4 linked regions of the Lepisosteus oculatus genome follow. The main gene of each other region encodes a partner of the protein of the gene in region 4 in a complex. Links are inferred from orthologs where the notes say so. Each region holds a gene or a part of one and is shown on either strand. Other genes may lie near its edges.

Region 1 (7,863 bases), on a different chromosome or scaffold from region 4:
GGGGTTGATCACCTCAGCGACCAGAGGCTCCTCCTTCGTGCCCAGCTCTGAGCCCACCAGGATCGGGGGGGGGAGAGAGAGAGGGCTCTCAGAGAAGCCAGGTGGACTTGGACACTTGTGCGTTTAGGAAAGGGCCAATGGGAGGCGTTTCGGGCGTCGGAGCAGTGCGGGGCGTGAAACTGCCCAGCTATGCCACTGGATGGAGGCTCCGGGATCCTTCAGGAAACACCTGGGATCCGGGGACCCAGGTCAGCTCCTGCGCTATGGTTCTGGATTTCTAAATGGCTGTGGGTTCGAATCCCAGCAGAGATGCTCTTGGCGTCATCTGCTGTTCACCCACCCATTTCCTAACGGGGAGCCAGAGTCTATCCCAGCAAGCAGTGGGCACAGGGCGGGATACACCGCAGAAGGCACACACAGACACACAAGGGGCAATTTTCCCCAGAAGACAATTAACTGCCTCAAACTGCAGGTTGGCAAGACCCAGGAGCGTCAGCTGCCAGCACAGCACAGTGGGACAGTTTCTTCCAAACTAGCCTATAAGACTCCAGGACTGGGACTGGAGACCCCTGATTCAGGGTGACCTGTAAGACACACTGGACTGGGGCTCCCCAGGACTGGGACTGGAGACCCCTGATTCAGGGTGACCTGTAAGACACGCTGGACTGGGGCTCCCCAGGACCAGGGCTGGAGACCCCTGATTCAGGGTGACCTGTAAGACACGCTGGACTGGGGCTCCCCAGGACCAGGGCTGGAGACCCCTGATTCAGGGTGACCTGTAAGACACGCTGGATTGGGGCTCCCCAGGACCAGGGCTGGAGACCCCTGATTCAGGGTGACCTGTAAGACACGCTGGATTGGGGCTCCCCAGGACCAGAGCCAGAGACCCCTGATTCAGGGTGACCTGTAAGACACGCTGGATTGGGGATCCCCAGGACTGGGACTGGAGACCCGTGATTCAGGGTGACCTACAGGACTAAATGTAGCCCCAAGCCCACACACAACACTTACCCTTCTTATTCTCATTCAGCTCCAGAGGCTTCAGACCCAACTTGGCCCTCAGCTTACTAGAGGGGGAAAAGAACAACCAGACTGGAGTGAATGGTTTTCCTGACACAATTACAGACTGTCACGATGGAAGTGTGTACAGAGGTACTCCTGCTGGCAAACCCTGTGATCCGATCCATTTCCCCGGATAACATCACCCCCCCCTCCCCATCACTGTTAAACCGCCCTTGCTCACTTACTTTGTTTCCTCGATGCTGAGAGAGGCATCCCCGGAGGCAGACTTTGGACCAGCCGCTGCACGGAGACAGTTCAGAGCGCGTTAACATCGCCAGAAATGACACAGATGAGCAAGAACAACAACAATAAATAACAGTCCTTACTATTCGATAGCTCTTTACAGAGCTCTGAGTGGAGGCTCCAGGACAGGTCATGGGGATCCCCTCCACCCCCACCTGGGTGATGCACCAGTCCGCTCCCCACACCCCAGCTCTCAGTGGGGAGGAGAGCAGAGTGATGGAGCCAGTAAAGAGAGGGGGATTATTAGGAGGCCATGATGGGTACAGGCCAGGGGGGAATTTGGCCAGGACACTGGGGTAACACCCCTACTCTTCTCGAGAGACACCCTGGGATTTTTAATGACCACAGAGAGTCAGGACCTCGGTTTTACATCTCATCCGGAGGACGGCGACTATTTTACAGTGCAGTGTCCTTATCACTATACTGGGGCATTAGGACCCACACAGACCGCAGGGTGAGCAACCCCTGCTGGCCCCACTAACACCTCTTCCAGCAGCAGCCTCAGCTCTCCCAGGAGTCTCCCCTCCAGGTACTGGCCAGGCTCACCCTGCTGGGCTCCAGTGGGGCTGCCACTGCTAACTGACTGGATTGCTGGCTGGCTGGCACAGCATTACAACACACAGTGTTCGTGATTCCCATTGCACAGCAGTCTGATCCACTCCAGGTTTCACCAGCTGAGTGAGGCTCTTGTGCTGATGAAGCCGTGGCCAGGGAGGGGAGATGAGCCGCTTTCTCGCGTTTTCTGGAGTGTTACAAAACCAGACTCTCACGGAGCACAGCGACGGGTCCGAACCGCTACCAACCGTGACCATTACTGCGGTTTTCACCGCACCTTCGAGGATCGAGCTGCGTCTGCAAGCGCGGTGCTGCAGAGGAACAGGTAAAGGGGTTATTCCCTGCTGGGAGGACAAGAAAAGAGACGCAAGGTATTGGGTTGTAGGGACTTGACGCGCCTGAAAAAGGCTCCACGGCCGAAACCCTGCGTCTCTTTTCTCCGCGTCTCGGAATAAACCTCTTCCTGTCCCCCTGCATATTTACATCCTGTCGCTGTTATTCTGTGAAGCGCTTTGAGAACCCACTTCTAAAGGCGCTACGTACGTTTATTATTATTACACATACACGCACAGCTATTACTTTGAGAAGGAACTTTTTTTTTTAAAAAAAAAGGGAGAGAGCTGCAGCTTTTTTCTCGTCCGAAGTCGTTAACCGACGCACCTTCCTCGTACCCGGCGTCCGTCTTCTCCTTCTTCACCCGCGGCTCGGCGCCGCTCTTGTCGGCCTTGCCCCGGCCCTCCCTCTCGGAGCCCCGGCCCCGCTCCCGCTCCCGGGACCGGGAGCGCTTCCTCTTCTCCCGGTCCTTGGCGCCATCCCGCTCCCGCTCCCGGTCCTTGTCCTTCTCCTTGTGCTTGTGCTTCCTGTGCTCGCGGTGCCGGTCCTCCGTGTCCCGGTCCCGGTCCTTCTCCTTGTGTTTCTTGGAGGAGCGCATCCCGTCAGCGAGCGCAGGAGGGTAAAAATACAAACAGGGAAAAAGCCACAGGCGAGTAAACTATCGAAACAAAGCCCACTCGCCAACGGCGTAGACAATCCCTGGCGCTAGAGAGTTCTCTTTTTTTTAACAACCCCCAAAAATGTCTTTTCCACGATCGAAAACACCGACAGCAACGCAACAACCGTCTCGACGCTCGAACGCAGTAATAACCTTTCACCCCTCCCCTTCCCCCCCACGCGCACCCACACACGAATATATTTCCGGGTCAAGGAGACAAGACGGGCGGCTTAAATGTGCGAGCGCCCCCTGCCGGATTCCGCTACAGCACCGCAAGAGCGCAGCAGTTTACAACAAACTGTTTTTGTTCTTGCAACAACAACAACGCATATAATACAGACAAGAGTACACCAATAACATCGCCAGGGGTACATGCAGTAAGACAACTGCACTTTACAAAAAAGGATTAACCAAGGTGAATCAAGATGAAGCCCGCCCTGCTTTCGTGTTCTCACATAAATAATCAGAAATAATCTGTGGATACGGTTTATTTCACACTGCTCAACCGCGGGTCTCTTCCCAGACCATTTCATTTTCTGTGCATAATAATAATAATAATAATTAATAATAATTGCTTACACTTATATAGCGCTTTTCTGGACCCCTCAACCTCCACCAATGTGCAGCATCCACCTGCATCCATAATAACGTGCAAATACAATGATTCAGTCACTGCCAAAGGATATTTTCATTTTATTTTCAATGAGATTAAAAATGAACGTGACTATCTATTTCTTTCAAGGTAACGTCAATATCAGAAGCCTTTCTTTATATCACTTTGCAGATCAATCCATAATTTTCTAACCACAGGACATAAAATTCTTATAGACAAGAGTTGTAAATAGTATTCGAAATGATACCCGAGGGAAAAGAGTGTTATCTTTTAGCTCAAACATATTACCTGTTAACAGGTAAAACAGAAGTAAAAAGGGTAAAAGGTGCTTAAATTCTAGTTTTTAAAGCGCTGCATATTTTACTACATAGAGGTGTCATGCTATACTTCATAATTTATAAGCGGCACAACTCATATTTAAAATAAATCTGTGTTTATATTTAAAACTGAAATGAGGAATTTAATTCACGTTCCCAACCTTTGTTCCATAAAGAAGACAGTTCATATGACAATTCTATATTCAAATGTTAGAAGTGAAATCTGGATTCAGCTGAGTACCAGTATAAAATTCAGGATCACCGACTAGCTACTACACTATATTTGATGCCGGAAACACAAACACAATAAAGTGCAAATTGAACAACATATTTTTAGAAAAATCATTTCATTAAATAGTGAGTTTATTGTAATTTGTCAGCAACGATCTTATTGGTATTATGAAGCAACAGAAGCCCTTATCTCAATGGCTACCAGTTACTGACCTGAGGTCAGCTGGCACATTGTGGCAGCTGGCTTGTGGTGCTTTTACGTGAAAAAATAAAATGACAGCACAAAATGACTATGTCGTCCTGTGTTTCCTGTGTGTACTGTTTCCCAGAACATGCTATAAATAAGGTCTCTATAAATTGAGGGGCATGTGAATTTTAACGACCTCCATTTCAATCATTTGAATAACCTTTTTTGCAATACTTTCGCAGTACTGCTTTTAAAATCTACTTGGATAACACCGGTGGGGCAGGCGTTGACAAGTCTCCATGAAGACAGATATGTATTGAAGCATCGTGTTTATATGTGCAGGCGATAGCTCTTCTGACGAAATTTCACTGGTGACGCGTGATTTTCTTTTTCCTCGGCGGCCGGAAGAGGTTCGGGTTTGGCGTTTTTCCACCCCCGTGACCCAGCTGTGCTACTAGGGGGGATACTGACATTTCTTTCTCTTCGGGTACGTTATTTTTCTCATTTCTAACGGTTTTTTTTAGAATTGCAGGCTAGAACCTCCACATTTCCGGGGACCAAAATTGTTATGGACGGAAATAAGAAATTCGTTCGGGAGTCAAAAGCGCACGTTGACATTTCAGGCATGTTTTTTTTTTTATTTTTCGTGTGTAAAAACCGGGCGCGGTCCTGAATATCAGTGCGTGATAAATCCAGGTGATAGGCTCGAGATGCTCAGGAGACACCTGCAGGTGTGCTTGTTACCGGCCAATCACAGGCCGAGAGGTACTGAGCCCTCCTCCCGCTCCCTGCCCATTGGCTGGACGAGCCGACGGACGCTCTCTATTGGCTGGCGGTGGGGGGCGGGCCTCGCGTGGAAGCGCTGAGGGTGGGAAGGGCTAGGCGTGCGCGAGAGCAGTGGAGCGAGATCGTCTGTGGCGTCGAGTTAATTGGAAGCGCGAATTGTAATTAAAATTATTGTAAAATATTGACGGAGAGGAAGACGAGGCCGACTCGACGGACGGACGAAAAACAGGTAAAGAAACGCGTTTCTTCAAATAAACAAACCAGCTCCCACGGGCGGGACGATAGTTTTAAAAAAAACGATTTAATTGAGAGACGCCAAGCGGCGTTCGGTGACCAGGCCTCCCGCCGCGCCAGCGGGCCTGGTTTGAGTCTGGACCCGCGGTGAAGCCGAGCTCCCCGGGCGGAGGGCTGGAGGCTCAGCGGCCCGGCCGGGTTCTGCTGCGGCCGGGCCGCCGAGGGAGCGGGCCCCGGCTCGGCTGCTCCTGAGCCCACGGCCCCCGGGCCCGACCTTGACCCCGGCCTCCCCTGGACCCGGCGCGTCCCGTCCGAGAGGTGCAGGCAGGGAGCTGCGTCAGCAGGCGAGGCTGCAAAGGTACAGGAAAGTTTATTTTCTGCTGAAAAGAGAAGGAATCCGTAGGAATCCGAATTTTACGGGTTTTAACTCGGGACTAAAACCCAGTTTAGTTGGGCGTTGCGTTAGTTTGCACCGTTTTCTTTTTTCGACCTCTTTTAGCTCGGTTTCTGTTTGGTATTGTTATTCTTGTGCGCAGTCCGAACTGGTAGAGAGGGGGAGAGTTTATTTGCCGTTTGTCCGTGTTTTGGTTGGGGTTCGTGTGTTTGAGGCGTTGTCTCTGGCCGTGCGCGGTGCAGTAGACGAGGGGGGGCCCTGCCGGGCCTGGTTTAATTGCAGCTCCTCCAGCGCCATGGGCAGGGGGCCAGTTCCCAGTTCCACTGGAGTCGGTCTGATGGGGCTCTTTTTGTGGGGCGGCGTTATTTCAGGACTCAGGGCGGCTTCTATTGATCATTAAACCTTGAAGCAACAGGTTACTCATCACCAATGTTTTCAAGAAATCTCTCTATGAAACGGACTCGGTTCATCCTGCAGAATCCTTCCCAGCCATGGCCCCAACAGCACAGTCCAGTAAAGCAAACTGAGACAAAACAGTGCTCAATTGCCCAGCTCCTGCTTCCTCCTCTCATGGGTGCAACAAAAGGAGCATACACACTAATCTAATACACACTCACTTCAAGCTCAAGAAGGCTTGTATTGATCATTAACCTTTAAAGCAGCAGGTTGCTCTGGCAGAAGGGTCGTTTGGGTAATTCAGGGCAGGAGAATGAGAGGTGTTGAGGGTCAGTCTGCAGTCTGGGAATCTGTAGATTTTATTTTACTTTAATTTTTTGTTTTGTTTAATGTAAATATCATTACTTTTATTTGCTAAGGCAACGCTGATTGTACCCATCGGTCATGCTAATAAAGCACCTTGAATTGAATTGATCACACTGTATTGAAATAAGGTGATAAAGCCGGCAGGAAAGAGCACAATGCCTTTGGAGTCTGGGAGCAGGGCTCAGCCCAGCGCATTGACGTTGTTTGAATGGGGCGATAACGGCCAGCAGGAGAGAGCAGGGTGTCTTGCCGGGTGGGGGTGGGGCTCGGCCCCAGGTGAGCTGCACAGACACTGACTGAAATCCTTGTGCGCAGTCCCAACTAGTTGAGAGTTTATTTGCCGTCTGTGCGTGTTGGTTGGGGTTCGTACGTGCGGTGTCGTTTCGGTCTGCGGGGCCTGGTTTACGTACCGAGACCGACGGATTTCAAAACGGCCTTTTCCCTCGGCCCGTAAGACTGCTAGACGGCCACCAGCAGTTACCCAAAGACCGCTGCTAAACAGCCAGGCCTCTTGAAACTGATGAGGTGCAGCCACGTCTTACCTGGTGCTTTGCCGTCAGAGGATATAAATGACGGGGCTCCTAGCCCTGCCGTATCTCCTTGTGTTATTTGTTGCGTAAATCCTGTAAATTGTCAATTGTTGTATTCTGCTCTGACCTTAATTTTGTGGGGCGGTGTCACTTCAAGGCTCAAGAAGGCTTGTATTGATCATTAACCCTTAAAGCAACAGGTTGCTCTGGCAGAGGGGTCGTTTGGGTAATTCAGGGCAGGCGAGGGTCGAGGTGTCGGGGGTCAGTCTGCAGTCTGGGAGATCACAGTGTATTGAAATGAGGTGATAAGGCTGGCAAGAAAGAGCACAATGCCTTTGCAGTCTGGGAGCGGGGCTCAGCCCGTTTACCTGGCGCTAATTCAGTTAGCGGGGTGGTGTTCCTGGTGCTGCTTGCTCAGCTTGCAGGCGGAGTGTTGAGGCTGGACGGTTTTGTTTTTGCTGCGGTGACGAGGGCCCCAGCAGTGCCCCGGGGAAGGGTCTCTGACCCCGGGGAGCCGGGCCGTGCAGTTTGCAGACTGTCCACCGGGGGCGGCGGGAGCCGCACTCTCACTCCCCTGCAGCAGAGGCTGCTTTTGTGAAACACGGGGCCGTTCTGGGGAGAAGCTGCGAGTGGCGCTGACAAAGCGGTAGCTCGCGCGGGCCGTCGGGGGCCGGGGTCTGGGTTAGCGGGACACCGAGCGTGCTGCGCACCGAGCTGGGAGCTGGCTGCGGCTCTTCCTCTGCCGAGTCCGAGGGAGCTCCTCCCCGGCTCACAGGAGAGGGTGACGTCACGGCAGTCGGGGGAGGGGGGAGGCCTAGCAGAGCAGCTGCCTGCCTGCCTGCCTGCCTGCCCTCGCCTTGTGGGATAGCTGCTGTAGCCGGTGCTGGCTTCGCCGCAAAGGGGCTCCTGGCGGCCGAAGCCGCCCTCTGTCCCGGTGTGGAGCGGGCTGCCCCAGGGC
Region 2 (7,272 bases), on a different chromosome or scaffold from region 4:
GATACTTAGGAAATTACTACTAACATAAGGTTAGCATACAAATGTATCCAAAATAATATTTAAAAAATGTATAACAATCTGTAAAGTATACAAAATTCTACTTTGCACAATTCAATCTTTGTGGGAAAATGAATGTGGCTGCATTCCAAGCACGTAACCGCATGTGCATGATGTGGGAACAAAATCAGGAGGTCCCCGTTTCTACGAGAGCAGCAAAATCAAAAAGGATCGATGTCAGTAAAAACTGAAGTATATTTTGTGGCAGACCAGCAGGATAGAAAGTAGACACATGGGAAAAATGAGACAGACAGACTAGTTGTTGTGGTCAAATCGTGTTCAGGATAATATTGTTTCAATATTGTTACAATAATAAAATAACCAGTTAGTTCACAAGCTAGTACAGTGATCTAGCTTCAGGACAGTTTTTCCTGCGGGTTAGAAGATACGACAAAGAAGATGTATGTATTCTATATGGCATATTATACAGGCAATTAGACGTTTTGGTGCAATTTAGAAAATGACAGGAGAGTTGCAAAGGCAGAAATAATCTGATTTCATGCTGGAAATGACACGCACTGCACAGGTCACCCAGAAGCCAATTGTATTCTCACCTCAACGGATGACCCCAACAATCAATTTGTTAATGTACATGAGTGGAGCTGGTTTTCAGCTATCACCTTATAAGGCAGATTTGAAACTTGCTGAATAAAGATGAAACAACCGAACATCAGAATCATCCAGCCATTTTCTAACTGCCTCTTCCAATTCAGGGTCGCAGGGGAGCCGGGGCCTATCCCAGCAAGCAGCAGGCGCAAGGCGAGGTACAGAACAGCAGACTGCTGCAGGGCAGGCACACAGACACATCTAGGGCCAACTTTCCCAGAAGACAGTTTATTGGACAGGTTTTTGGACTGCAGGAGGAAACTGGAGCACCCAGTGGAAACGTAGGGAGAACACACAAACTCTGTGCATATAGCACCCAAGGGCTGGAATTGAATCCAGGGCCCCAGCACTGAGAAGCAGCAAAGTTATACACTGTGCCACCATGGTGCTCCTACATCAGACTCATATCAAGCTAAAATTGACTTTATTTTTGCAACAATCCAGAAAAACGTTTGTTATTAGTGTTTATACTCCAGTGCAATGTTTTCTGAAATGTTGCAAAAAGGTCAAAAGTCACAATTATACTGCACCTCATACAACAAATAACAGCCTAAAGTTTAGAAGCTATAACTTAAAAAACAACCTTGAAAACACCATAATAGTAAAATGTTAAATATTTTTTAAAAAGTCTAAATACTTACACATTGTCTCCCCTAACAATATATAATCCAAGCACGACTTGTTCAACTCCCTGCGTTGAACTGAACACTCTCTCATGGCTCTCATCAAGAATCAGATTAATGGTCTGATCAAATCCTTTAAGTGTCCCCTAGTAAAAACAGACAGAATGAACTTAGTAAGTTAATTTATACAATTATAATGTAAGTTACCCAGGATACTTCAAGTGTCTGCCAATGGTAACATTCCCTGACATTTTTCATACCAAGATACATAGTTTAAAAACATCCTCACAACATAGCTCAGATGGGTAGAAGCATCAGCATGCGTAGGCAGAAAAGGAACAAGTAATAGGTTTATTCCATGCTAAAAAGAGAAAAAAACAAAGTTTCAGCTGTGGAGAAACACTTACACCCGAAAAGTTGTTTTCTTTCTTCTCTTTTCAGCATGGAATAAACCTATTACTTGTTCCCTCACAATATACTGTAGTGCTTTCTTTGATGCTATATACAGTAGATACTACTATATTACTAGTCCAACCGCAGTAGACCTACCACAATCATTCTTCCATCTGATGTAATAATTGCCACGGTGCCTGTGTTCCAATAGTTAAGGAATAATGCATTGGTATAAAAGTCACAAAATATATATTATTTTAGATCATTACTCCATCTCATCTCTACATGTTCAAGTCCATCTTAGAATTAATGACATCTACTCCTGCTTTGATATATCTCAGGAACTGACTTTTCCTAGCCTGGACATTCAAAGATTTTCGTTCCATATCACGGAACGTCCTCAAAAAACGCTCCAGGTGTCTGGATGTTAAAAGTATGTTTTATTTATACTGGTTTAATTCTGATTGCAATAAAAATGAAGCGCAGAAACTATGAAGCCCCTTACTTTCTCAGACTTTACACACTCACTCACTGGAATCTTTTTCCGTTTTTTTTCCAAAAACGTCTTGAAACCTCAAATACTCTTTTCTAGCTGCTGCACAGCTTAATTTAAAAAGTACTACTTATACGGTCTGCCCTACAATCATGCACAATTAAAGTTTTAACATAAAAACTTAAAATCGGGTAAACTAGGTCTGCAACGGGTATGACATTTAAAAGCTCCAGATTTTGTTATACTGAATTACAATACCTACCCTACCCTAGTTTACCTAAATCTTAAATATGAAATAAAGTAAAACCTTTTGGACTACTATATGTTCATAACGAAGCTTCGTTTTCATTTATTATATTGACTTATTAACATTTTGCTACTGGGAACACTATCTTCAACTAGGTTAACAAAATATTGAATTTTGCAATTAAATTCTAATTTGAATGCGGCACTACGTTCGTGTTCACATCATTACACGGACATCTTTTTTTCCAAGTATTGACCATTAGACCACATTGAGGCTTCTCTGTCGTTTTTATTTTGTGCCTATGTCCGCTAATCACAACGGTGTTGAAAATGCATTCGCTAGGCCCACCCTGACAATTCATAAGCCTTTACAAGCGACAATTCACACACATAAATCTATCACATCTGTCCACTCATTACTTCAGAACTCTAAAAACAAACGGGTTAAGGATACGGTTGATATAACTCTCCAACGCAGTAGACATGATTTTACCAAAAACTCCAGCTTTCGAACAACTGAGCTTGATTTCAAACAGATACTCTCCTCTTAGCTAACAAATCACACACAGCGGAAATAGGAATGATGGGAAACACAGGCCCAACTAGATGTTCACTGATACATCGATGTTGTTGCACGTCACTAAGATTTTTTTCCTACTTTATGAAAAAACAATCCGAGGATCAAAAACATCTACACACAAGAACAATATAATTGTTCTTCTATAACATGGAACATTAATTTCAGGGATTTTAGTTTAACATGTCCGAATAAGATAACAGAATTTAAAATATCATTAATATCTGTGATATCGTTAATATCCAATTAGCTTTCTTATTCTTAACATCTTTTTTGTATTTTAGTGTAATCTTCAATTTCTGTTTTAAACATCTTTATGTTTGGAATTGAAACAATGTATTAATATATAGTTTTTCACAAATTAATAAATTAAGCAGAAATATTTATTTTGCATCCAGGTTTGTGCGTGTGAAATTCAGCTACAATCCCGTTACGACGGGAAAACTCGTAAAGGTTGCTTTTTGCAAGTTGCAAAACACGAAATTTATCAAATTCAGTTTTGAATTTAGATGTCTGATACAAAAACATCTATGCACATTATAACCTTATTGAAGAGACGTACACTTTCTGCAAATTATCATTATTGTTAAAAGATAGAGACCCTGTTTGATAATACATTGTAATAATGTCATGCTTAGATATTCCTAATATAAAGATTACGATAAAGATCTTTTTCCAATATATTAACTCCACCTAAAAAAGATGTTAATTCATTTGTTATGTAATTGTAAACATTTTTATCCCCTGTAAGAAAAGCTATGACTCCTCTAGAGACCGAATCAAAAACTGCATGAAAGTCTCTGAAATGGACATTTAAAGGTTCTCTATGAAGTAATTAACATCATCTCTCAGTAAATATCTCACTAATATAATACCATTTCCATGCCATATTTAGAAAAATACAGTATTTTTAAATATATTTTATATAATTCCCATTAGGATGGCATGGTGGTGCAGTGGTTAACATGGATGCTTCACAGGGCTGGGGTCCTGTCTCCAGTTCCAGGGGAGCTATCTGTATGGAGCTGTGTGTTCTCCACATGTTCACGTGGGTTTCCTCAGAGTGCTCACCTTTCCTCTAAGAGTTCAAAGACATACTGGCAGGTTAATTAGCTTCTGGGACAGCTAGGCATGGCATGAGTGTGTTTCTGTCTGTGTATGTCCTGCAATGGACTAAAGTCCCTTCCAGGTTGTATCCTGCTTTGTGCCCATTTGCTTGCCGATAGACTCCAGCTCCCTCGCAACCCAGTACTGGAAAAAGCAGTTAAAAAATGGATGGATATAATTCCCATTAACAAAGATTAGAATGTTTTCTTTGGGTTTTTTTCTATGATACCTATAAAACATTTATTTACCTCTTCACAAATCTTATTTTCTTAATATGTTACTTTTTGTTTTACTGAGATAACACAAATAATGTTCGAATTACAGTCCTCAATTGTCAAAATTTAAAATTAAACATTATACAGTCACAGTTAGTATTGGCAGAAAAATACCCACCTTAAATCTCACAATACCCATACTGCAAACTTGTGACAAAAGGCCAGATGCATGGCAAGAAGTGGCAGAAAATTCACGTTTTTGGCCTAAATGCAAAGCATTTTATCTGGTACATGCCAAGTATAGCATATCACCCATTCAGCACCATCACAACTGACAAGCACAGTAGTGTCAACATCATGTTATGGGAAAGTGTCTTGTCAGCAAGGACTTGAAGAATTGTGAAGAAAGATGGAAGGCACAAAGACACAGTGAATCCTAGAGAAAACCCTACTTGAGCCACCCAGGAATCTGAAGATGGATGCAAAATTTACATTTCATCAGGAGCAGAGCAAGGACCTGAAACACAAGGCCACACTGAAGCTGTCTGTCAAGAAGACAGTGAATGTCCTTGAAAGGCCCAGTCCAGAATTAAGAAGGACTGACAATGGAATTTTGGAACTGTAAGCCAAAGAAACTGAATGTTTTAGAAATTTTTGAGGTTTTGTTTTGAAGAGTGTCAGAGTGAGACAGGAACTTGATTATGTGGAGTCTCAGGGAGAGACTGAAATACTGTAAACTGAATGTTTTGAAGCCGGTAATAAAGGTGGCTTCTCAAAGCGCTTTACAGAAGGAGAACAACAATAAATAAAAAGAATACACAAGAGGAGACCGTGGATGGTGGTACTAGGAAAAGCAGAGGAGTGAAGAATGGAACCAGTTAATTAACGGCTCTTCTAAAGAAGAAGGTCTGTCTGTATTTGAAGGAGTTTAGAGAAGGTGAATCTCTGAGCTTGGGGTCATAACAGGAGAAAGGCCCTGTCACCCATACAATGTAGACGGGCTTGGGGTACAGTTAGGAGACCAGAATCAGAAGAGCAAAGGTTGCGAGGTGGGGAGTAAGGACATAATAGTTCAAACAGGTACTGAGGTGCCAAGCCATGCAGAGCCTTATAGGTGAGCATGAGGATTTTAAAGCCTACACGGAATTTGACAGGAAGCCAGTGCAAGGACTCCAGGATAGGAGTAATGTGATCACCTGCATTAGACCTGGTCAGGATTCTGTCTGCTGAATTATGGACATACTGCAGTTTGTTCAAAGTAGATTTAGATACCCCAGCGAGTAGAACATTACAGTAGTCAATTCGAGATAACACAAATGTTAGTTGATCATAGCAGCTTAGTTGCCCAATGGGATAGATAGGAATTCAGACAAAAGAACTCAGTCAAAAGATCAAAAAGGAGCTAGGAGAGTTTTGTGTGGTGTTTGGTTGTATTTTTTATTTCCCTTTCTGTAAATAAATAAAAGCATTATTTTTTAACCTTACGGCTGTGTATATGTGTGTCTGTTGTCCTGGACCCACCTATTTTACAGGTCCATTACGACATGCCCAGCAGGTTGTCACATACTGAGAACTTGCTTGTGTTTTTTTCTAATTGTCAATCATAGAGCATTGCACCCTTCAGGTCTAGAATCTTAAAAAGAATGCCAATTAAGTTAGAATGCAAATATAGACCAAAATTAGCATATTAGAATGTCTTTGCTCCAGACCGCAGACAAAAGCCTTTTGAGTTAGCAAATGGGCATTACAATAATCAGGACAAGGGGTTCTGGATGCTCGAACCCATAACTGTGCATCCTTCGTATCCAGGGAAACTGTTGTGTGAACATGTTTAAGAAAATTGAGGCTGCTGATACACTGGCGAATCTGCATAGAAGCTCTGTGATTCAGTTGTGTGAAGGCTCCTGAAAAAGCACCTGAAGGAGGCTCCACAGCCGAAACATAGGGTTTCTTTTTTTTTACTTTCAGCAAGGAATTACCCTTTAGCTGTTCCTTTGAGATTAACTGAAGTGGCAGAACCTCACAGCATACTGCAGAAGGAGTCTTTCCAGTGTAATCCCTGCCAAAGGAGGATTAATAAAATGTTAATAACAGGGCTGTGAATAAATGTGTACCTTTTGTTTTCTAAACATTATAACCAATTTACCTTATTATTTACAAACCTATTAAGGTAACTGTATAACATTTTTATATTTGAAGAAGGCTTCACAGCCGAAACGTTGTGTTTCCTTTCTTCTCTTTTCAGCATGGAACAAACCTATTACTTGTACCTTAACATTTTTATGATTTTTAAGCAAGACACATTGTCCAATCCACAAGTCTCTATGTTGTAGATTGTTTCTATTTTATGAGACCTAAGAATAAAGCTAGAGGGCCTTGTATACAAACCATGACAAAAATCATGTAATATTTTTATAAGGTTCTCCAAGGCCAATTATTATGTCTGTTATGATATTTTCCCCTTTATTCAAATGTGTTTTTTTTAAGTGGCGCTTAACGTTTCATTCCTAAGCTGTTTCAGTTTTTGCTAAAGTGCTGAATGCTTTTTTGATGTTCCTGTAGAAGAGAAACTGGTACAAAAATACAATATTTCATATTTATAGAATAGACATACTGTAGTTATACCACTCACAGTCCAAAAAATGTGGCAAGAATCAACCTAAGATGGTTTAATTTCTTCCAGTTTTGCAAGGAAACAATCACCAAAAAGGTGCAAAGAAATAGCGCTCTTCAGAAGGCTGAATGGTTCATTACAATGGACACTATGAGTACACAAAAGGTCTGAAACAGAACTTAATAAACAAGATTTATTTAGCAGTAGTTGTAGAAGCAACATTATTATTACCTTGAAGAATTCCCACAAAAATCAAAAGATTCTGAAAGACCACATTCAGCCTGGAGTTTAATAGTGAATCAGAGGACCAGGTGGGGTTACCATAGATATGTCACTTTCAA
Region 3 (7,901 bases), on a different chromosome or scaffold from region 4:
TCTTGTCTGAACCACATTCCCCAGAATGCTGTGGAGTGAGGGTTATGTGGGGAATGAACTGCCATCTTCAATCACTTGACCAATCAGAGCAAGACAATTGGTTGGTGACATTTAAAACTAGGAATCTGATGCTTCCGGGTTGGCCACCTGCCTCTGCTGTGTAGAAGGAGAGCAGGGAATCCTACACAACCCACATCAGAAGGAGAAGGAAGTGACTGAAGGACCGGCCACTGGAGTGACAAAAGTTTTTAAAGACAAGAATAATTTTTGGAACAGAGATTATTTTTGGGAAAGACTTTGGGAGAGAGAGATTTGCTTTGTAGCTTGTAAGCACCTTAGCTGCCAGATTTACAGGAGAAAACAGACGTTTAGCTAAAGCTCGAAGAAGGGCTGGGCTTTTAAACTCTGTGTTTCTATATGGGTTTGTATCAAACCTATACTGCATGCCGTGTATGGTGAGCTCTGGCTGTTGTGTCTAGAGCACTGTTATGGCTGTGTTTGTGCAGCTGTCATTCTGGGAATCATTATGGCATATCACCCCCTGCTATTCCACTCTCCCAGCTATACAGGATTATGAAGCTCGGGCACATTTCAGCTCTATTTTGCACTATAATACTGTCTTTTTAAAGCATTTCTGTGAGGTGTCCAGTCTAGAAATGTTAACAGAACCAAAGGAATGCTGAAAGTACAATAATGATACAGGTAACAGATTAATGTGAATAATCTGATTCCGTGTACTATTGCCCCTTAAAATCTTCTAAATAAAGTTTAAATCCAGAATCACACACAGCAGTCAGCTGATCAACTACTGTTTGAAGTACACAGCTTTGGTGTCCAATGTGTGAGATGTTGCCAGGCTAGATTGCTCAGATTCAAAGTAATAATAAGCTCTCAACTAAGCATACAGTAAGCAACACAAAAGGACCTAGAACGTACTGTTGAAAAGTAGAGGAATTAAACTACATTGCTGCATAACGTTTATGAATAAAAAACCCATTAATATGAACACAATCTTCTTATTTAACTAAGGAGAACCTTTGTAGAAATCAAACAATTTAGGTATATATACATTACCTGCCATCTGTGTTATAATGCAACTCCATGACGGCTCCACTGTGGCCTTTCAGAGTGGCGTAATTGTCACAATCCCCATAAACACTCCATAGCACTGAAAGCAAAAATAGCAGAAAAATAGATTAAGCCCGAGAATGTTCTGTACACACTGTTTTTAAATGATCTTGGGTACTGAACCCCTAAGGACATGCAACTGCTTCATCAAAAAAAAATAAGGAGATTTTCAAATTCCTTGAACAAATCGTATTCAATCGAGTCTTTCCTAGGAAACACAAGAGTGAAGTCGTACTCTCTCATACTTTGTAAAGAATTGTTTTAGGGGTCTGGTGAACAGAGGCTGGCCACACAGTCTAAGTGTCCTTTTGCTTCTACTCCAATCGCAACACACCAAACATGCATGCGATTTGCTCACACCTGAAGAGCCGAAACGCCACGGCCGAAACGTTGTTTTCTTTCTTCTTTTTTCCCTGGCACGGAATAAACCTATTACTTGTTCCTTTGCAGCCTACGCATGCTGACGCAGCTACCCACCTGAACTAATACATGTGTTTTTATTACCTCAGGAAAAGAAACTGATCACAAGTACTCACAGATCAGCCTGTCGTAGCCTGCGGATGCCAGCGTGGCCCCATTGGGGTGAAACTTGCAGCAGTAGACCTCTCCCTCATGGCCACTGAGAAGCATGATAGGAGCCTGCAAACTGGAACTTCGTGGGGGGCCCTGTGATTACACAGACAAGAGGGTACAGAGTCAGATTAGCCATAATATTCAGGGCAGAAGTTCATGCAAAGAGCACAATAAAATCTAATCAGCTCCAGTTGAGCAGGACTGTCTTTAAGACGAGAGGCTTTTGCATCCACAATCCTGTGTTCAGCAAACGATTTCATATACATCTGAACACCTTCCCCAATTCCAAAATGTATTCTAAGAATGTACTTTTACAGATATGTTTTAGAATTCTCATTAACAAAAAATATCTTTAAACTTCAAACAGGGCAAAACAAACTTTCCCAGCTAGAATTAAGACTAGGCTTCCTGTGTATGGACCGGAGTCCTCGATAAACTACATCTTTGTCACAACCTTCGCATCTTCTTCTTTGAAGACTCGGCGTTGCAATCTTTGCCCGGTTTTAAAAATGATATAAAGCAAAGAAGAAATTAACGTTTCACAAACAGGATGTAATGATCAGATCACAAACTAATACATTTAAATTGTCTATTGTACTTTACACATACTATATATGCAGTGTAGTTTCAGACTAAGCATTAGGATTATAAAGCAATTTGTTTGCTGTGATAAATCTGATTTGTTAAACAGAAATATGATTTGTTAGTATGAAACTTAGGTGAATTTTAGGTCAAAACCTGCACGAACACTACTGCAAAATCAAGCACTGAGGCCGTTGAAATGTTCAACGAACATGAACTGATGTTACCAAATATTAACCACGATTTCAAATACAAATAACAGGTGTTATTAAAAAATAAAGAAGAGGCGGAACTCAATTTAAAACAGTACAGTGTGTCAAAACATCCATATCTCGAATGTAAATAACAAGTTGGTGTCGTTTAGGCTATAATTCGCAGAACACAAAGAGCTCGGTAAAATAAAATGAACTATACGCATTATTCAGCCAACGTATTTTTAGTTCCTACCATCTGCATGAGCTGCTGGGACTGAGCCGCGGCCACCAGCTCATTTCTTGGTCTCTTGTTCGTCGGAACCAGAGCCATCTCCGTTGGCCCTACTCCCTTCCTCTTCTTCTGTTCTATCATTTCTTTTTACTCAATTTCAAATCAAAACGTTACTTTCGAATGAATATGTCGATACAACCGTTGCCTTTTCAACTAAATAGCTAAACTCCGAACCACATCCAAGAGCACCCAACAACACAAACGCGGCGAGCATCCGCAGAAAGAACTTCCGGTGACTGACGATTCTGATTGGATAACATTTAGAGGTTGTTATTTTACGTCTTATGTAATTGGTCGCCTTATTTTTCACCCGCCCCGCCGCCTAACATTAGAGTCCGATAGACGGACTCTCACCCCGGAACCGAAAGTAGAGTAGCTGTGTATTGGTTGAAATGCCTGTCTGTTATACTGAAAAGCTGAATGGACAGTGTACGTAGCTGCACGGACAGCTGATCACATTTGTGTTCTCTCGAATTGACTACTATAATGATCTGCTCGCTGGGGTATCTAAATCTACTTTGAACAAACTGCAGTATGTCCAAAATTCAGCAGCCAGAATCCTGACCAGGTCTAGTGCAAATGATCACATTACTCCTATTCTGGAGTCCTTGCACTGGCTTCCTGTCAAATTCCGTGTGAACTTTAAAATCCTCATGCTCACCTACAAGGCTCTGCATGGCTTGGCACCTCAGTACCTGTCTGAACTATTATCGCCCTACTCCCCACCTCACAACCTTCCCTCGTCTAATTCTGGTCTCCTTACTGTCCCCCAAGCCCGTCTACATGACAGGGCCTTCTCCTGTTATGTCCCCAAGTTCTGGAACTCTCTGCCCAAGGATGTCAGAGAGTCACCTTCTCTAAGCTCCTTCAAATCCAGACTCAAAACCTTCTTCTTTAGAAAAGCCTTTACTGAACTGGTTCCATTCTTCACCCCTCTGCTTTTCTTAGTACCACCATCCATGGTCTCCTCTGTATATTGAAATTGTGTTTTATCTTGTGTATTCTTTTTATTTACTGTTGTTGTCATTCTGTAAAGCACTTTGAGAAGTCACCTTTAAATGCGCTATATAAAATAAAGTTTATTATTATTATTATTATTATTATTATTATTATTATTATTATTATTATTACTACGTCAGCTTATAGGATGTTGGAATTTGTGCTGCAAGGTTCTTTGTAGCATAGGCATGGAAATGTTTGTTGGTGGTTTATGATGTAGGTATTTAGCTGGGGTGCTCATTACAGTGTGTCAACGGCCTAATCAAACAGTCAAATTATCTCGGTTAACTGCCTGGGAGTATTTGACAAGTAATTGACCCCTGTGCATGTTCACTTTACTGGCCATATACAATTTCTTTTATTAGGATTTCTCTTTTTGCATACCCCAGCTTGCTCTCCAGGAGATATAGACAGGAAGGGAAGCTTGGGGTCAGAGCGCCCCTGGAGCAGTTAGGGCTTAAGGGCCTTGTTCAGGATCCGAACGGAATAGGATTTTTCTGCCAGCTGCGGGATACAGTATAAACTGGCAACCTTCCACCAGCTACAGGCGCTAATCCTTAGCTACAGAGCCACCGCACCACGAAGAGGTCAACCCCTGGAGTAAACTGCCACCTCCGTGGTAGATGATACTATTTGTATTTTACATTGCAATTAAGTTTTAGAAAAATAATCTGAATTAAGAAAAGTGGCTGGAAAAAAAATGTTCTGTTTTTAAGTACTGCAATAGAAACCAGACAGTAAAAAGGAGCGGTTATCAGTGCCAATTATTTAGAAACTACACAGATTTCCAAGTGTTTTGGGGTACAAATGCAAGCATCATGACATAAAACACTTGACAAAAACAAAGTATATTGTGGCATAAACCACCAATTTGTCTGTAATTTCTGTAATATATACTATTTAAAATAGAATCTTCAAACAACCTAGTGCTTTGTGTGGAAGTGTCCGTTTCAACCTTGGTCTTCAGTCTCTGTCAGTGTAATTAATTGCTTACACTTATACACTTATATTGCGCTTTTCTGGACACTCCACTCAAAGCGCTTTACAGGTAATGGGGACTCCCCTCCACCACCACCTGTACCATAGTGCACCAGAACGCTCACCACACACCAGCTATCAGTGGGGAAGAGAGCAGAGTAATGTAGCCAATTCATAGAGGGGGGTTATTAGGAGGCCATGATTGGTAAAGGCCAATGGGAAATTTGGCCAGGACACCGGGGTTACACCCCTACTCTTTTCGAGAAACACCCTGGGATTTTTAATGACCACAGAGAGTCAGGACCTCGGTTTTACATCTCATCCGAAGGACGGCGCTTGTTTATAGTATAGTGTCCCCCTCACTATACCGGGGCATTAAGACCCACATGGACTGCAGGGTGAGCACCCCCTGCTGGGCCCACTAACACCTCTTCCAGCAGCAACCTTAGTTTTTCCCAGGAGGTCTCCCATCCAGGTACTGACCAGGCTCACACCCACTTAGTTTCAGTGGGTTGCCAGTTGTGAGTTGCAGGGTGATATGGCTGCTGGCTAGATTTTATAACTACTTCTGCACTCGCGATGCATGTTACACCGCTTGCTGTTTAAATTGACCCCCTGGGGATGAATGAAGTATTTTGAATTCAATAATCGTATCTGTTTAAGATGCTGGGACTGAGCCGCGGACACCATCTAATTTCTTGATCTCTTCTGCTCCATCATTTTTTTACTCAAGTCCGAATCAAAACCCTATTATCAAATAAACTTGTAAACTCAACCGACGTGTTCTCACCCTATCACCTGTATTCGAAGCTACCACCCGCGAACACAATAGGGCGAGAGTCTGCAAAAAGAACATCAGGCTACTGACGATTCTGATTGGATAATATTTACAGTATTTTTATTTTACGTCTATGTAATTGGGCCTTTCCTTGTTCGCCCGCACTGCCATAACCCGCCCCCTTAAATCCGATAGGCGGACTCTCACCCCGGAACAGAAAGCGAAGGAGCCGTGTATTGGTTGTAGAGCCTGCCTGTTATACGCAGGCGCTGACTGCACTCTGCCGCTCTTTGTAGCTCCTGAGGCATGCGAATGTGGGTTAGTGACTTAGTTTTGTTTTCTTCAGGAAGTATGTTCTGTCTTATATCAAAAGATTTAATACAGTAAATTGCAATGTTGTTTTCGCTAAGTGCAGACGTTCTGGTATGTAATGGTGTTTGTTTGACGCAATGTGCCTTTGGTTTAATAGTACTGTGCACTATTGCTGCATGATCAGTTAGTTTTGGTTATGCTACTCTTTTCACTCTCGTCCCTACGTTTCGGAAGCAGGTTTATATTACAACAGTTTGTAATAAGACATGCTGGCTAGGTTAACTGGGATGTCTAAAATGCTCCTGTGTGATTGTTGAGGTAGTGGACAAAAATGTAAATACTCTGGGTAAGCTTGGGATTGCGAGTGTTAAAAATACTGGACCACAGTGACTTTGGAAAAGGGGTGGATATTTGGGCGCGTTTGACAGCTCGCCGGGCTGATGTTTCGAGAGCATCGGTGTCTAAAGTGGGAAAAGTGCGTATTCCGGGGTTGTAATGTCCAACTGCAGATCGATTGACTGCACATCTCAGCCCATTTCAACTGCCATGTTGCAGTGCACTCTGGCGAGCCCAGGCGTTAGACTGCCGAGCAGTGAAGAAATGGGATATGATAGATAATAATAATAATAATTGCTTACACTTATATAGCGCTTTTCTGGTCTCCCCTCCACCACCACCAATGTGCAGCATCCACCTGGATGATGCGATGGCAGCCATAGTGCGCCAGAACGCTCACCACACACCAGCTATCAGTGGGGAGGAGAGCAGAGAGTAATGAGGCCAATTCATAGATGGGTATTATTTGGTTCTGTGTTGGGTCCTGGTGGTTTTGTCATTTTCCAAGAATGGTTTGAGTGTGCTCATTTCCTTAGAAGGCAAGATCAATGGTAATCGCTGCTTAATGGTACTGAGTGCTTATCTTCAGCCTGTGTTGCAGCTCTTCTTTCCACCCACAGAGCATGAGTGGTGGGCCATAGGTCTGAGCAAGACACTGATGTTATCCACATGTTCTGGTCTTTTCACTCACCGGACCCCAAGTGAGCAGTTATGAGATAATCTAGCACTATGCCTGAGTTATCATTTTCCACCTCTGCCAATCCGGAGTGAGTTGGCTGTCTTTCTCCTTGAAGAATGGCGCCACATCCCTCCTGCAGAATTCAAAATGCTGGTAGACTCCATGTCCTAGCACATACAGGCTGTACAGGCTGCAGGTGGTGGCCCAACACCCTGTCAAGTGACAATTCAGAGTTTCTGTTTTTTTTTGTCCAGTATCTTTATGTATAGGTATAGTTTGGAATAATAGGATTATTTTCACTTCACCTAGGAATTTTCCTGAGGAGATGAAGTCGAGGCACACACCGCAAATTAGTTTAGCAGAATAGATCTCAGACCAGAGGACAGCCATGGATGAACTGCCCGAGCTGTACAGTATCCTCAGAGGAGAGGTAAGGTAGCATCAGTGTTTAAACTCTTGATTTCAGATTGACAAGAGTCCCGTCAATCTATTAAACATGAGGGTGTCATCGACTGCAGGTTACAGGTTTAAATCCTAGGCTGTGCCAAGCAGCTGTTACTAAGAGTGCTAGTGAAGTTGGTCAGCTGGGTAAAGTACAACTGCCAGTACAAACACCATTGACTGGAGAGACCTGTGACCTTATGGTGCTGTCACTGAGGACCTTACCCCTGTCCAACCTAGTCACAACCTTGGCTGTGCCAAACATATTGATATGACATATTCTCACATTCTCACATTAATGCTGTGTGCTTGTGTAGTGAAATTGACTTGATTAATACTGATCTGCAGTATCTTGAAATGTTGCAATGGAAGTAAACTTTGGCATAGAAAAAACCTTAATATACAAATACTATAAATTGTATATTTGTTAGTTTTAGACTCTTGTTCCTAATCACATACTTTCCATATTTAATGCACACAAGTTGAGTTAGTTATAAATTTATAAGTAGTGTTAACGTATGCAGAGTGTAAATAAATAAAATGCAGGTGGCTTTCCTTATCACCAGGGGGCCCTGTTTAGCTGGGCCCTGTATCTGGAAGCATTCATCA
Region 4 (7,642 bases):
ACATTCCACACTGCTATGGTTGGTAACACAAAATTACTACATGTGAAACACAGACACACAGACATTTTTCTAAGGATATGTAATGAAATTCACCAAATGCAAAAGCAATCAGGTGCATGGCTTTATTAGAAAAACTGGAATCAGTGAGTGTGACTAATTTCCCAAAGAGATGTCATTAAATGTCATAAGAAATGACATAAACCTAAGAAATCAGGAACAAAGAAACAGGAATACTTTCCCACCTGACTAAGTCTCATGTCCATCAGGGTGTTCCTGGCCTGCCCGATCTTCCTCATGTCCAGTTCACCTGTTCCTGGGGTCATCAGGCCAGGGGTCATTGCTCCTGGATAAGGGGTGTTCAGCCCTCCAGAGAAAGGTGTATTTAGCCCTCCAAATTGCTGACAAAAAAATCCAAATAAAAACAAACAGTTTTCTGACTGTTCTTGAAAAACCCTGTCTTCCACTCTTATTTTTGTACTCTCAGCTGGAGGCTTACAGCTGAAGAATAATGAACAGATGCTGAAAAAGAGGGCTAGGAGAACATTAGCTTAAAGTGAGAACATATCTCATGGGGGTTTCTATCACTGAGAGGAAAAATAAAAATGTTCTGCATTCACGCTTCTGTGGGCTATAAAGCTATACATCATTATATATTGTCGGGTGTTTTCTTAAACTGACATCTACTGGTGCATTTTAAAATTACAATGCATCTCTTCTAAATAAACACGGCAGATGCTGGGTGGCTTATCGAAAAAAAAAACATTCAACTACCCTGGTTATTCCTTCTGGAATTACCAAGAATTTTTGACATTACACTTAGCAGTAAATTGATGAATAAATTCACTTTAGATAGCAACCATTTACATAAGAGGCAAAAGGGAAGCTTGTATTATAGTTTATTTATATAATGTTTGTTTCTGAGAATGCACCTTGATGTAAATTTCTGAAAACGTGAATCGATGCACTGAACTGCGTATCAAACAAAACAAAGTCATGACAAACTTGGAAAACAGGAAAACAAGCACACTAACCCCTTGCCTGGGGTCCACTGACGTATGGTTTTCTCCCGTCTGGAGGTGCTTGGCAAAGAAGCTGTCTGGTACAGGCGTAAGTTTCTCATAGCGTGGATTCCTCTGGCGTTTATTTCGGGCATCGCCCACTTCTGGAATACTCAGCCATTCTTCTTCAGTGACCTCGGCCAGCTTCCTCTGGAGATGTAGAAATCTTGACTCGTTACACTCATTACAGCACGCCTTCGTGAACACATGCTACTTATAGCATTTAAGTGATCTATTTTTACCACATATATTTATATGACAATGATCTGCATGCTTTTTGGATGTTTTTGAATTACCTAAGGGTAATAATCTTGTTGAAGGAACTTCCCTGTTAGTGAAAGATGTATGTAATACACATTTGCAACAAAAGTAAAGTGGCTGAATTTTGCGGCACATTTATTTCTGGAGGCCTCAGTTAGATTCCAGCTTTGGTCCAAAGACAGACTTACTACACGACAAACAGTAGAGAGAAACATATACCTGTTGTCATTGTATTTCATGTGTAATGAGAATGAAAACCATTTTCTGAAACGCTTATCATTGTACAAACCTTAAGATCAGAAAACTGCTGCTGAATTTTTGGACGCTCCATACGGTATTTCTCAATCTCCTCCTTCTCTCTCTGTTCTCTGTTGAAAACAGAGATCAGACAAGCGATGATAAAGCTATTCACTACATCACACAAGGAGCAATGTTGTTTTTTTTATGAAATAATGACGTTTTCATCTATGATGACCCACCTTCTCTCTTTCCTCCTTTCATCCATTCTCTTATCAAGAGCAGCGTAAATTGCATCTGCTTCCTCATCGTCCTTTTCATAGGGCCCACTTGAGAACAGACTACCAGCATAACCATTGAACTGCAGAGATATGAGAAAGGTTGATTAACATGCTTTAAAAACAGCGATTGTACAAAATCATAAAACCGTCAGTTCAAATTAAAGACGCCTCTAGAAAAAATGGCTACAGCCTTGGATGTGCCTGATGATTTCCTCATCATAAAGGCTTATTACCTCATCATAGTTGGTGTCATTGAGATCCTCATCATCATCATCTGCCTGGTTCTTCTTCATCTGATCCCCCACGGTCCTCTTCCCCGGAGGAGCATGGCGATCGTCCACTGGGTCATTGGCATCCCGGGCTGGGCCGATATCAGACCGGGTGGTGAAACCAGTGGCACTGAAAACAACACAACAGCCGTCCGGTCGATAACATAGCACAGAGAATAACTTCGCCATTGTAATCCAAAACACTTGTAGTCTTCCTTTCCAAAAACACAACATCCAAAATGTATACAATTTAATTAAGCTAGGCTACACAAATATAGCCGCATAGACTATTAATATATATAATATGAAATCTTACATTTAACACAAGGTCGCAAAGACGTCTAGAGTCGCAACATCGTCAGTATTTTATAGTTAGAATATCGTCAGTGAAAACATCAAAGCAACCAAAGGTTTATGGTTCTATCGTTAGCTCAGGAACAAACTTTAATTGCAGTACTTTCTGAAAAAAGCCTACTGCAAGTAGCGAAATGGATTTAAATCTTTTCCACAACTTATAACAACTTGACTTGTGTGGCCTTATTTCTAGACAGCTTATCAAACCCCATAATGCTAAAATACATAAAAGACTAAACTGCATGTTTTTTTTTAAGATGCAATGAACGGGGATCACATCTTACCCTCTACCGAGACCAGGCACATATCCCAGGGGTGCTGGCATGCCCAGAAAGGGTTTCTTCTTCTTGTTAAGTGTCCCGGTGAGGCTCGAAGTTGCCCCAGTCCCAGACAGACTGGAGGCTACATTTCCACCTCCACTTCCACTTCCACTGCTGCTACCAGCAGCTCCTGCTGATGAACTAGCCATCTTTGATGCGTTTCTAGACGCCGGAGTTGTGGAAACGCTAGCCATTTCTGCGCCACCATTAACCAAAACAACTTCCGGGGTAAAGGTCTAACCTTAACTGCGATTGCGCTGATTTACCACAACAGCTCCCCTACTGGTCGTTTTAAGCCCCTTCTAAATATGGGGGTTTAAACTTTGCCTACATGTTACTCAGTAAAATCTCACAGATTAATAAACACAGTCAAATTGAAGATTTCAGTTGTTGTAAAAAACGTTACTCTTGGTGCAATGTGAAATATAAAGATCAGAACTGCAGATCAACAGAACCAATGTCAATTTTGTCATATAAAATATAAGTAACAGCAGTTTAACTGGTTTTAAAATGGAAATAGCAATAATTACACTTTATTTTTATCTTCCAATATATTTTATATTTCTTACAGTGAAATGGTATGCCAACAGTTGCGTGTGGTGTTTAATTATTACTATTTGGTTCATCCTGCTTTTTGTACTTAGATTTTGCTTGGTTTTCTGTAGATTAATACTGTATACTGTTACCTGTTACTAATTACAGATTTGGGATTTTGTTTGACCATCTAAACCCCTCTTACTTTACATATTTATACTTTTATTTATTTGTTATAAGTTAATTACATTTTCACAATGATCTTTTTTTTACTATTACTCGTCAGGTGTCTTTAGCCAAACGACTTCTATAGACAGAATACTCAGTTAACAAAATAAAAGGTATATATATAAATCGCATTCATGATATTTATATAATTCTTACAACAAACAATAGACTGAAGATATGGATCTAACTGATGTTTAGCACTCGATTTTAATATCTTATTATTAAAGAGAGTTTTATTTATGACAATCATGTATAGAAATTTTATTTGATGCTAAAACTGGCGTTTCTTACGGGGAACGATCTTTTTGAAAGGAGATACTCGCAACGAAAATAGGTTGAACCTCTTAAGACCTGACCTGCCTGTGAAGTGAGGCTGCCTGATAAAATGGCTACCACGCGTCATCCAGGTGGTCAGATGAAGCACGTTCTCCCATATATGTAAAGCACTGTATAAATGCTATACAGATACTATACAGCTGTTTATCACACAAACACACACAATGTATTAACATTAGAGGGCAGCAGAACAATATAAAATGATCCTTCGTATAGCAGGCCATAATGTTGCATGTTTAAACGAACTAGAATGCTGATTTAAACGAGAGACGGAGAGATAATGAAAATAATTTCCATGTCTGTCAAGCCTATAAACAAAAGGGAGGAAGAGGCCCTTGTTTGATTAAATTATTTGACATGTATTTTGCGGGACTTAATAGATCAGTCTGCAATCTTCGTTCATGGCCAACTCATCAACCAGAATGCCAATCCAAATCTCCGCTGTAATTCCATTTGCTACATGTTGAGTGTTTTGCTGCCCTGCACTGTAATGGAACTAGACACCTTGCTCCACTTTCTAACGATTGCGAGGAGCCTATCTTAATGTCAACGAATATGGCTCAGTTGACAAGGTGTTCAGTTTTATAGACTTTTAGGAGACATTCAGGTAACCTTTGTTCTAGGGGAGATAATTTAATTTCGTGAGTCTATGCCATTACCAATCCAGTGTACAGGATAGACAATGATGTGGATTTCAGAAACAAGATTAGCGTGTGATTGAATTCCATTGTACTTATCGTTCATCCCTCGACAATTTAGTTTCTTGAATTTTCACTAATTTCAGAAAATGAGCGTCTCTCGCATTTAAGAAGGGGCATGCGTTATCTGACAAACTAGGGTGGCTTCTTCTGAAAGTCTCATTTTCTTTGGAATACTCAAATGTCAGTAACCTTTTTTTTGTTCAGTGAGCTTCTATTATTGTGTTCTGAATTCATACCGAAGCTTAACGTTTAAGGATGAATACATTGAAGAATACATTTAAGGAATAATATTTTCCCCCCATAATATATAGTCTGTAATGTTCTTATACTCGTTATATATCCTGGGTAAAGAAAAACACATGTATTTTCTACTTTTAAACATCATTCACATAAATTCTTATTCATGTAGGAGAGATTTATTATTAAAACTCAGATTTTTGCTTAGCAAATTGTTTTTTTACATTGGTTTTACTATAAGCTATAATCCAATGACTATAAAGACAGATGTATTTATAAAGACAGACATATACAGTAAAGCTTTATTCTTTTATAATACATCTATTACAATTTCTGAAAATGTAAATCTTTATAGAAACATTGATATGTTGAATTAATTTGACGTTTCATTTTCAGGTAATAGAAAAAGATTTCTTTGAAGCCATCTGACTTGACTGTGATTCAATATATGGTTTTGACCATAATTTATATGTACATTCATTCCAGAAAGGTATGTAATACTATACTTAAAAATATCTGCTCTGGGACTGGTAATGTACCTGGAACATTTATTATTAATATTTATGATTTATGATTAATGCACACGCTGAAGTTACTTTGTTTTCAGCTGACCTTTGCATTTTTTAAAGGCACTACAGTATGTTCAAAACCCAGTACCCAGAGTTCTGACTAGGTTTCACACTGCCTTCATGTTAAATGTTGAATAGACTTCAAGATATAGTTCTTGCTTTATAGGCCATGCCAGGGAACTTTCCCTTTATTATTTCTACCGTCCTGATGAATTACACCCCTAACTATGTTCTTATGGTGCTCCAAGCAGATTTATTCTTTGCACCCTTAACAAGACTTTGAATCGCAAAATGCTTTGTCCTACTTTGCATCAAGACTATGAAATACTCAGAGCTCATATTAAAACTCACTTGTCTCACACAGTACTGCCTTTTCAAAATATGGTGCCTGTTACACGTCAATATAATACATTTGATTCTTTTGCCTACATTTTACAGTTTGTTGTCCTGTTTTTTGTGTTGCACTTTAAATTTTCTTTTATGAAACAAGATGCTCATATCTAATTAATTTCTTTAGGGGTTTAAGCATTCATTTTTGTGGATTGATCACATCATCGGTAACATCTCAGTCCGACACGGAGTCCAGGAGAGGGAAAGTCTTTCTGTAGACATACTGCAGTGATCCCCAAGAAAAGAAAACCTTGAAGTAACTTTAAAATGTACCATAGTGATGATGCCAGTGATGTTTCGAGTAGTGTAACCATTGCTGCAGCCTCAGAATAACTTACTTCACAATTACTGTTTAATAATACATGTAAACAGAAGCACAAATAAGAAATGGAAGCAATACAAAATACAAATTCCCTATGCCATTTCTGTCTAAGTATGCTATTAAACCTATACTGTATATAGTATAAATGCACAGTATATCATCATCTGCAGTCTTTATTGATTCAGTTCTGGATGGAGATACCACAAAATTCTAAATATATATATATATTACATCTATATGTTGTGTGTGTGTATATAATAGAATCAGAGAAGCCATCAAAATGTGTTGATGCATTTTGATTGGCTGTATCCTTAGTTTTACAATATGATTTTTATAGCCCCTGAATGGGTTATTGCAATATGTCAAAATGAGTTTCTCCTGCTTCGTGTGCACTGCCCTGTCTGAAGCAGCTTGTTATGAAAATATCTCGTCTGCAGCCCAGGAAGGCTTCCTTTAAATTAAATGAATGCAGCACTAAGGGGTGGGAAGCTGGAAGGAGAGAAATGGAAAACTAATCATCTCTTTAGGCCCAGGGGCTCAGACCCTAGAAAAGAACCAAAGTTCTTGCCTGAGGATCTAATAATCCTCTTTGATGTGTTCCAGTGTCATTTTTAGCTTCTGCAATTTGTCTTCTCTAAAACCTTCCCTGAGTATTGCACCTGGAAAAGAGCCTTTGTGGTTCAGTACATTACATTACATAAAGCCCCTAACCTAAGAGAATGCAGTGGCTGGAATAATTGTTAACAACTAGAGATTAGCACAGAGGATTCAAGATAAAAAGATATTCAGTTCTGGTTGACTGCTGTTTTTAACAAACTGCTTTTCACTGTATCTGATTTAATTTAGTTACAGCATTTAAAGAAGGAGGTGAAAAAAGTCATCTGTCTTTATGGAACAAGTAATAGGTTTATTCCATGCTGAAATGGAAAAATGCATTGTCTTATCTTTGATCTAAATAACTTTGAAAGGCTTATCTTTACCAAGAGTATGCATTTTTCACCCTACCTGGTTAGGAAAAATCACTGGGCAGTGATTTTATAAAGAACATGTTAAGTTAAATATGACAAGGGCCGGGAATCTCACTAAGTACAGTATATAATCTAACAATCCTAATATTCACTTTCAAAAAATGCTAGATGTGTAACATAACAGAGGGGCTCAATAGACTAAAGTTTGTTTCAATGTTTATGTCATTGCAGTTTGTGCAGGTTAAGTTAAAATGAAGGTGATTTAACTTGAACCTTCATGATCAATGATTCAATTTAATTCATGCTGACTGAAAGGTTTGGTGGAGTTTAATTATGATTTATTGATCTACCAAGAGGAATGAGTGCACACTACAGTATGGGTATACTTAAAGTTTAAAACTATTGAAAGTAGAGTTCTTAATTGCTCTTTTCTGCCATGTAGAATGCACTTTATTATTTAGCATTATACCTGCATCAAGCTGAAAGATACAAATATAGCCGCTATTCTGACACAAGGATAAAATAGATGGAAATAAATATCTTTGTATCTTTAAAATGTGTTAAATTTTGATAAAGC

The links.
Region 1: prpf6 (region 4) and sart1 share a complex: the UniProt entries of both Homo sapiens proteins name them as parts of the U4/U6-U5 tri-snRNP complex. The link is inferred for Lepisosteus oculatus from reciprocal best matches to the Homo sapiens genes PRPF6 and SART1.
Region 2: prpf6 (region 4) and lsm8 share a complex: the UniProt entries of both Homo sapiens proteins name them as parts of the U4/U6-U5 tri-snRNP complex. The link is inferred for Lepisosteus oculatus from reciprocal best matches to the Homo sapiens genes PRPF6 and LSM8.
Region 3: prpf6 (region 4) and snrnp40 share a complex: the UniProt entries of both Homo sapiens proteins name them as parts of the U4/U6-U5 tri-snRNP complex. The link is inferred for Lepisosteus oculatus from reciprocal best matches to the Homo sapiens genes PRPF6 and SNRNP40.

What each region holds. Positions count from the first base shown.
Region 1 is NC_090713.1:22,042,460-22,050,322, forward strand, and holds the start of sart1 (U4/U6.U5 tri-snRNP-associated protein 1), read right to left. Parts: upstream 3,018-7,863; 5' UTR 2,792-3,017; coding exon 2,521-2,791; intron 1,303-2,520; coding exon 1,248-1,302; intron 1,068-1,247; coding exon 1,012-1,067; intron 48-1,011; coding exon 1-47. Other genes in the region: collagen, type I, alpha 1b-like, read right to left, coding at 4,951-5,077, 5,320-5,569, 7,546-7,673, 7,762-7,863. UniProt on the Homo sapiens protein: Plays a role in mRNA splicing as a component of the U4/U6-U5 tri-snRNP, one of the building blocks of the spliceosome. May also bind to DNA.
Region 2 is NC_090702.1:45,582,547-45,589,818, reverse strand, and holds the start of lsm8 (LSM8 homolog, U6 small nuclear RNA associated), read right to left. Parts: upstream 3,008-7,272; 5' UTR 2,904-3,007; coding exon 2,873-2,903; intron 1,877-2,872; coding exon 1,836-1,876; intron 1,433-1,835; coding exon 1,305-1,432; intron 1-1,304. UniProt on the Homo sapiens protein: Plays a role in pre-mRNA splicing as component of the U4/U6-U5 tri-snRNP complex that is involved in spliceosome assembly, and as component of the precatalytic spliceosome (spliceosome B complex).
Region 3 is NC_090706.1:10,109,696-10,117,596, forward strand, and holds the start of snrnp40 (U5 small nuclear ribonucleoprotein 40 kDa protein), read right to left. Parts: upstream 3,003-7,901; 5' UTR 2,851-3,002; coding exon 2,731-2,850; intron 1,795-2,730; coding exon 1,665-1,794; intron 1,169-1,664; coding exon 1,075-1,168; intron 1-1,074. Other genes in the region: zcchc17 (zinc finger CCHC domain-containing protein 17), read left to right, coding at 7,240-7,281. UniProt on the Homo sapiens protein: Required for pre-mRNA splicing as component of the activated spliceosome. Component of the U5 small nuclear ribonucleoprotein (snRNP) complex and the U4/U6-U5 tri-snRNP complex, building blocks of the spliceosome.
Region 4 is NC_090711.1:6,106,550-6,114,191, reverse strand, and holds the start of prpf6 (pre-mRNA-processing factor 6), read right to left. Parts: upstream 3,009-7,642; 5' UTR 2,975-3,008; coding exon 2,745-2,974; intron 2,237-2,744; coding exon 2,071-2,236; intron 1,918-2,070; coding exon 1,799-1,917; intron 1,688-1,798; coding exon 1,609-1,687; intron 1,209-1,608; coding exon 1,032-1,208; intron 399-1,031; coding exon 243-398; intron 1-242. UniProt on the Homo sapiens protein: Involved in pre-mRNA splicing as component of the U4/U6-U5 tri-snRNP complex, one of the building blocks of the spliceosome.